Daphnia pulex: one gene and its partner. The protein of the gene in region 1 purifies or fractionates together with the protein of each later gene. This does not show direct contact. Links are inferred from orthologs where the notes say so. Each region holds a gene or a part of one and is shown on either strand. Other genes may lie near its edges.

Region 1 (4,163 bases):
CTAAAACTGTAAATGAATCTTTGACTAACGACTCCTAAATGAAATCACGACGTAAGCCGCAATTCGAATTGAATACTACGGTAGAAATTCACTTCGCGGTTCGTTATTTGTCACTTGATTACGTAGTTCACTATTCTGACTTAATGTTTACGTTTTAGTCTGCGTTAGTGGTATAAAGCCTGATTTTTAAACTAAAATGCGATTTTGTTAAGTAACTCTTACTTTTATTTGTTGTGTCGTTATAACGCAAATTCTTTCTGTGGTTTTCTGGCATTTTCTCTCATTGTTCCAAGTGTAAATCTTTTGGCAAGAGATAAGGAGCCCCTATTTCACCCGATCCGGTCCCAACTTGGTCTCCATAGCCTAGGCCAATGCTATGGCTCTCCAAATGAGCCCAAATAATTTAAACTCGCTTGCTTTTTTTGATCACATAGTAAAGTAATGGAAATGATTGAAAAATATCAGTATCCAAGCAAAGAAATAATTGTACGAAATTAGAATTATTTTGACACATTTCTTCGTAGAACGCATGGTTACAGCTTACATAGACTTACATTGGACCTTGTGTGTGATAAATACTACAGAAAACATGTAAGTTGTATTATCGATTACGATGAATATTAGCGAAAGTTAAAAAAACCGAGTTGAGACAAGAGCACAGGGGAAAATGTACGCAATCATCTTTTCTCCCATCAAACAGAAGTAGCATCGGCAACAACTGCACCATCTGGGCAGATTTTCTTGGCTACTGACGACTCACTTCCTACGTTATCATCTGGCTTCCTCTTCTTTCGGATCAAGTGTGTAATATCCGTGGCTGGTTTTCCTGAATTTGGAGATTCTCCAGACAGCATAGCCACATCAGTTTCCATGCTACCATTCGCCCCATCAGCACTGCTGGAAGTGCCTGCTCCATTGTTGCCGTTTTCAGCCAACTTCCGGATTGCCTCCTTTTCTAAATCGATGGTGTCGCCAATTTTGTCACGAATATCAGGTAGCAGAGTTTCCAGCTCCTCAATCTCCCCCTCAATGGTGTGAAACAAATTCTTGGGCTCCTCCATAGAAGGTTTCTTTTCAGAAGGATTCCTGAGATGTCAAACTTCATATTAAAAATGGCAATTACATGAAAAATCAAATTAGACTAACTTACTTGAGGTTGTCAATTCTCAACTGAATGACACTGGCAGCTGATTCAAAGCTACGAACCGCTTCTTTGAATTCGGTAGTAAAAGTGAACGCAACACCAAGTTGATAGTGCGTTTCAGCCAATGATCTAGAGGAATAATAAATATGTAAAGGGAGAGTTTGCCCAATAGATTAAAAATTTAAAACCTGCTATCTGCTGGGAACGAAGCTTTTTGAATCTCGAGACATTTTTGCAAATCTTCTATAGCTGAAGTATAGTTTTCTGATTCAATTGCTACTTCAGCCAATCGAATAAGAGCGTCGGCAAGTTTTGGCTTGGCCGCAGGATCTGTTTCGGCTTTCCTGGATAAATAAAAAATAAGATAATAAGTGAAAAGCTTTTAGTAAAAAAAAAAAAAAGAAAAAGAAAATTACCTTTGATATATATTTTTTGCTATTTCGAACACTTCCCAAGCCAACTGAAGGTTAGGTACTTCATCTGTGTTGACATCAACATCATCATCCGCAACAGAATCAACTTTCTCTCCTGAAGAACTGCCAGCAGCTTTCAAAGATTTGCCCTTTGCTTCATTCTTAGGTTTGGCGACAGATTTTTCTCCATTTTGAGCAGTATCAGTTTTTTCCTCAGCTTTGGACTCTGAGTTTTGTCCATTTGTGTGTTCTGATGAAGGTTCGCTTTCCTTCATTTCAACATCTGGTGCTTTAGCCACATTTGCTGCTTCAGAAGCAGCAGGTTTGGCAGTTTCAGGTTTAGATTGAGCAGTTTCAGTGGTAGATTTTACATCAGCAACTTTAGTCTTCTCTTTAACTTCAGAATCATCTGGTTTATCAGTTTTGTCATTTGTCTCAACATCACCATTCATGGACTTTTCACCAGAATCCTCTTCTTCCTCGCTTTCTTCTTCATCATCACCATTTTCTTCATCCTCCGACTCTCCTTCTTCCCCTTCAGTTCTGTCACCTATGAGCAGGGTACAAAGTATAAGTACGAGAAATATGTAAATGAAATACAATAAATCACCTCCTTCAACAGCATCTCCCAGCACATCACAGTCAGTGCGAGCCATCTCAAGAAGAGCCATGCCATAATAGTAGTAGGACTCGGCACACTCATCAGCAAACTCTCCATACTGTTCGGCAAGCAACTGAACTGATTCAGCCAAAGCAGCAATGGCAGATGGAATGTCTGACACGAGAAGATGTCGGCGACCTTGCACTAAGAGATTCATGGCAATCTCGGTAACTTGCCTGCATAAAATCGGCAAAGATGAATCTTCCCTTGTCACGTGTTAGCAAATATAAAGACGTAGTTACATACTCTTTTTTAGAAGAAGATTCTACAGGGCCGCTAGCACTGGCAGTTTCAGAAGATATCCCATTCGTGGTGGTTGGAATTTCTGCCATTTTATTTTTACGTATTAGAATTTAGAAGTGAAACGCTACCAAAGATTAAATGGGGGAAAAACCGTTGAATGGAACACGCCGGTGCGTGACAACTGAACTGACAACTAATCTGTGGGTGTATGAGTCTAGGAGAAGTGGATTCAGCAGACGTTTCGATTTTCCATCAGACTAAAGGGGGCGACAGTGCACAACACGTTGGCGGGAAACGGACGATAACACCCTCTAGGGAAGAAAAATTGTGTTTTTCGCAAGTGTCATGACTCATGAACTAAGTAAATACATTTGATTGAAGTTGAAATGAGAGAGATTAGTTTAAAATCTTGTGAGGATTTCATGCTTGCTATTCTACACCTTTGTTCCGTGTTCTAAATCGTAATCAATAATTCCATATGGATTGAACTGTTTTATCTTTCTGACTAGACAACGTTGCAATTATAAAACTTTTAAATTTGGGGGTAAATTTAACTGTGCTATCTAATTCTTTAAAAACATTTTTAAATCGTGATTTTATAACAGCTAGTAATTTTAAATAATAATCCAACCGACTAATTTCTTACCAACCCGCTGATTCAAACAAATTGTTTGTTCCGTGAATTAAACAAAAAAAATAATGAAAGTCGTTGAGTTTGATTGTTATGGGAGCAAACACTTTGTAATGCTCAAATGCTTGAAAAAAAAAGACAAACAGAACGAATCATTGGAGCAGAAGCACTTTGCTGGCCAGCAGAGCCGATCCCAATAAAATGCTACACATTTGACCACAATCAAAATAAGACGAGCTGCATTAGCTGGAGACGAAGAAAGTGAAGGAAGTTGCTAGAGAAAATGGACGATGAAGTGAAACAGGTATTTCGATTACGAAAACAAGGGAAATGAACAAGTGTAGAGAACAAGGCATGACGATAAAGTCTCACGCAGATAAAGAAAATGGAATGACAGCAGCGCTTGTAGAAATGAAGGCGGAAACAAAAAATCCATCAGAAAACAATAGCCGAGTTCCACATTGTGAAAGAAAAAAAGGGGGTCATCAACAGCGTGGTGGAATGGTGTGGAACGCTTATTTGCTTGTCTTAAATACACACGCAATTTTATCTCTCTCTCAGGGAATCATATACAAAACACATCACGACTACGGCACACATGGGAAATGTACGATTGAACGAAACAAAAATTGGGGAAAGAAATTCGAAGCACAATCAACAACAACATTTATGCCTATCAAATATTTTGGAATGATCGGTGTCGTTGTGTGGCTGGCAGACAGGTGCATCGGGAATGTTCAGAATGCAGTTAGATAACAAGAATCAAAAGTAAACAAAATCGGGCGAATCACTGCACTGCCAAACAAAATGTACAGTCAATAATAGACCCTCGGCAAGGTTCACTTTCAATGCAAGTACATGTTTCGTTTCTCCTCTAAAATTTTACTTTGAATTAATCTACAATTCAAATTGTTTAACAACGACAACGACCGTCCCGACTTGCGGTTAGATCTCTTGACACATTCACGCCAAAATTACAAATGGAACACAGATCGATATAAATGAAAAAAAAAAAAACTATTCATAAAATTATTAATATTGTACGGATTATTTTAAAAGAAATGGTACTGT
Region 2 (3,982 bases), on another chromosome or scaffold:
CAAAATTAAAAAATTGCGCCAAAAAACCATAGTTTCTTCATACTGAAGTGATATATATCTGGAGCTCCATGGAAATAGGAGCCGATTCCGTGCCCTGTAAACGCCGGAACAACTCGGAAGCCATGTTTTCGGGCACAAGCGTCAATGACTGCGCCTTTAATAGTTGGACAGAATGGTTAACAACAATGTTCTGTCATCAGCGCAAGAGCAAAAAAACAAACAGACTTTCAATGATGTTGATTACCGATATTGTTATATGGTCTCCCCGGATGACATATTGCCACAGCTTCATCTAGGCATATTTTGGTGACATCCACTAATTCCTTTCCTTGTTCATCGACATCACCAACTAGGAAAGTCTCTGAAACGTCGCCGTGGAAACCGTTTAGATACACCTATGGTACGAATTTCAATAAGTCTTCATTATTCGTATCAAATTGACGGAAAAAAAACACAAAAAAAACAATTTACAACTCACAGTGACATCCACATTTATAATATCTCCATCAATTAAAGGTCTGTCATCAGGTATACCTAAGTTGGAAAATGCACAATAAGTAAAGCTCAAGCATATAATAGATATTAATTCCAAAATAGTACAAACCATGACACACAACATTGTTTACAGAGGTGCAAACAGACTTTGGAAATCCCTTATAATGTAGAGGTGATGGGTAAGCTCCGTGAGAGATAATAAACTCATACACACATTTGTCAATTTCCTCAGTTGTAGTTCCAACCTGTAAATCCAAACATACTGTTTAGATATATTTCTGTTTCAATCATGCCATGTTACCAATTCGGCAATTCCTAATACATTCTTTTACCTTAACCAGCTCTTTTGCGTACCTCAGGGTATTTTTTGCAAGGCTACAGGATGCCCTCATGCATTCTATCTGTGTGCTGGATTTGATCTCTGGTTGAGCAGAACTAGGGAATGTGCCATTTACATCATTTATGTACGGTGGCTTCACAATATTTGATGGAACACATCTTGGCTCCAGAACTACATGGCCTGGTTTCTTTATAACTTGGTAATTTCCGAAATTTTGATTTTTCCTGTTAAAAATGTTTAGTTATTTCTATATATTTATCAGGTTTTAATGAGATAGCAAAAATACTTAAACCAGGAGATATTTCTTATATTCCGTTTTATTTGCATTAGGTTTTGTGACGATGAGAGTGTGCTACCAAGTGAAGTAGCCCATAGTCTTTTAAATAGCATATCTGTCAAAATCTTATTTAAGTAAGAAAGTGTTTAGGCTAGTATTTGAATAATTTGTTAATTTTGTTCTATAAAATCGAATTTGACTGAGTGTTAAGCAGAAGAAAACTCAGGCTTTGTTGACATTTCACAAAAGATTTTTGTCTGCTACATATAACGCGGGAAAAAGAGCTATCGCCATCTACTGTGTGCAATTATCACTATCATTGCATTAGGGTTTCTGCAACCTCCTTCTTCTTTTAAGTTGTTTGGGCTAGAGAACATGGATCTCCAAATCGGTTGCCCAATCCCTCCAACAACCTTTTTCGCGGTCAGTAGTGATTCAGTAGTGATTCAGTTCGTCAGAAGTTTTTGCATGCCGCCCGCCTGTGCATTTTAGAAAGTAGCAAATTATTATTAGCACTTGTTAAGTCATAGTGCAGCTTAATTTATATTAACTATTCATATTGAAATGGAAGGTAATGCATTTCATAGGAATTTGTTTTAGAATATTACAAAACAACTTCCAACATAATTCATTACACCAAAATGCTTGCTAACTTTTCTTTTTACGTTGCTAGGTTCTTACAAAAAAAATGTACTTCAGTCATTCATCATCGATTCGAACGAAGCTCTAGATTTTAAGTTAGGTAAGGAATTTAATTTATTGCTAAAGCTTTTACTGAATCATGCAATTTTTTTAATTTATACAGTTCGAGAACCTTCTGATGTTGATAATGATGAAACTACCTTCAAACCAGAAATGTCTCATCAAATTTTTGGAGAAAAGTATGTCCAAGTAAAAACATTGAGAATCATTTAATCAATTATAAATTATTTTGTTTCCCCAAGTGAAAGCATATTTGGTTACCAGAACCTCAAAATTAGCTTGTACTACACTGCAGGAAAACTAAACACATACCTTGGAATGAATTACAGTAAAAAAGTTGATCCCAAGCAATTTGAAGGAGCTACAGTGAGTCCCCTTTTTATTTGAATTGTGTGATGTATTTGAACTACTTTACATTATTAGGCTGATGATGTAATGGGAGCCATCACTCCTAAACTTCCACCTGGTTACATGACTAACCTTGATGACTTTCTCGTAACCCTAAACAAAGAACAAAGCTTCAAACCTCCTGGTGAACTTCTTTCAACATACTCTATAAACAAAGGTACTAATACTACAGATTACAAAGGTTCACAGATTTTGTAGATGCTTTGAGTCATCACAATCCCATTTCCAGGTTCGGCCGCAGAAAAGAATTTTGAATTGTACAGTTGTACGATAGAAGAACCTAGTTTTCGATCATACCACGAGCGATTGCAAACTTTCCTCTTGTGGTATGTGGATGCAGCTAGCTTTATCGACGTTGATGATGACCGCTGGCGCTTTTACTTAATGTAATAACTTTTAGATATTCATCTAATCCGATGTTTTTCATTTGAGACTGTATCTTCTGCAGATTCGAAAAATATCCTTGTGATGGAAGTCATCGATATGCTCTGTGTGGATATGCCACAGTTTACCTTTATTTTGCTTATCCTAATAAAACTCGGCCTCGCATCAGCCAGTTCTTAGTTTTGCCACCTTTTCAACGCGTAGGTCTTGGAGCAGAACTTCTAAACACCATTTATCGTTCATTTCTTAAGGATTCCAACATACTTGACATCACAGGTATGTATCAGTGTTAACAGATGTTTGGAGAATTGTTACTCATGCTTTGTGTCTATTTTTTAACAGTTGAAGATCCTTCGGAAGAATTCACTCGTCTTCGTGATTTTGTCGACGCTCAAAATAGCAAAAAACTATCGTCTTATTCTAAAGAAAAACTTCAACAAGGATTTAATGCTGAGATGGTGGAAGATGCTCAACGAGAGCTTAAAATCAACAAAGTAATATTAATAACTTGGTTTCACAACTGACTCTAAAATTGTTATGCTCCAATTGTATTCAGAAACAAGCAAGGCGTGTTTATGAAATCCTTCGTTTCGAGGCAACCAACCTAGCGGATGTCGAAGAATATCGTGCCTATCGCTTAGACGTAAAGCGTCGCTTGAATATTCCCTATCAGGTGGGTCCGAGCTTGTTCGATTAATCAAATTATACCCAATATAATTTACTTTTCCATTACAGAAAGAAGCATCAGATTACAAGAAATTACAAAAGGCCCTCAATGCAGAGGAACTTCGCTCTACCCTATCTACTTCAACTAAGGAACAACGGATTGAAAACCTGGACAAGCAATATCAAATGCTAGAAAATGAGTACAGGTAAAATTCCTACTAAGCTGGGAAAACATGTTTGGATTGTCATTTGTCATTGATCTGCTTCAATAGTAAACACTTACTGCACGTGGCACATCAAATCAGGTTACTGCGCCCTATAATTTTGCTTTCATAATACATTTTAGTCGCTAAAATTTGACAGTAGCCTTATCTTGAGTCGAAGTGGCCTTGGATTGATATTTAAAAAAAAGCAACTGATCGTCTGGTTGTGTGTGGTTAATATAATCCCTAATGCGTCATTTCTTATTGATGTAACTCATTTACTGTTAAGTAATGTTTCTTTTGCTTATGTATTCACGTACAAAATATTCTGTGAACTATAATTATTAAATGCGTTTGATTCGAATCATCATGAACATGAAGTCATGATTAAAGCAGTCTCTTCGGTATTACTTTTTGAACAGAGCGCCATTACCCATTATTATTTCATCAGACACCTAGTGGAGAAATCATGTACTGTTTCCTGTGCCAACTACCATATTGGATATT

The links. Proteins that work in one complex are often made in the same cells at the same time.
Region 2: the proteins of histone-binding protein N1/N2-like (region 1) and histone acetyltransferase type B catalytic subunit-like purify together in Homo sapiens (affinity purification with mass spectrometry; 3 studies listed by BioGRID and IntAct, with this or other methods). This does not show direct contact. The link is inferred for Daphnia pulex from reciprocal best matches to the Homo sapiens genes NASP and HAT1.

What each region holds. Positions count from the first base shown.
Region 1 is NC_060017.1:1,803,476-1,807,638, reverse strand, and holds histone-binding protein N1/N2-like, read right to left. Parts: upstream 2,740-4,163; 5' UTR 2,551-2,739; coding exon 2,465-2,550; intron 2,395-2,464; coding exon 2,168-2,394; intron 2,108-2,167; coding exon 1,561-2,107; intron 1,489-1,560; coding exon 1,333-1,488; intron 1,274-1,332; coding exon 1,151-1,273; intron 1,087-1,150; coding exon 693-1,086; 3' UTR 501-692; downstream 1-500. UniProt on the Homo sapiens protein: Component of the histone chaperone network. Binds and stabilizes histone H3-H4 not bound to chromatin to maintain a soluble reservoir and modulate degradation by chaperone-mediated autophagy.
Region 2 is NC_060025.1:914,212-918,193, forward strand, and holds histone acetyltransferase type B catalytic subunit-like, read left to right. Parts: upstream 1-1,463; 5' UTR 1,464-1,676; coding exon 1,677-1,683; intron 1,684-1,785; coding exon 1,786-1,854; intron 1,855-1,917; coding exon 1,918-1,993; intron 1,994-2,056; coding exon 2,057-2,180; intron 2,181-2,237; coding exon 2,238-2,379; intron 2,380-2,451; coding exon 2,452-2,608; intron 2,609-2,670; coding exon 2,671-2,882; intron 2,883-2,948; coding exon 2,949-3,100; intron 3,101-3,162; coding exon 3,163-3,279; intron 3,280-3,341; coding exon 3,342-3,482; downstream 3,483-3,982. Other genes in the region: methionine aminopeptidase 1D, chloroplastic/mitochondrial-like, read right to left, coding at 44-154, 245-395, 479-534, 605-740, 828-1,059, 1,122-1,225. UniProt on the Homo sapiens protein: Histone acetyltransferase that plays a role in different biological processes including cell cycle progression, glucose metabolism, histone production or DNA damage repair. Coordinates histone production and acetylation via H4 promoter binding.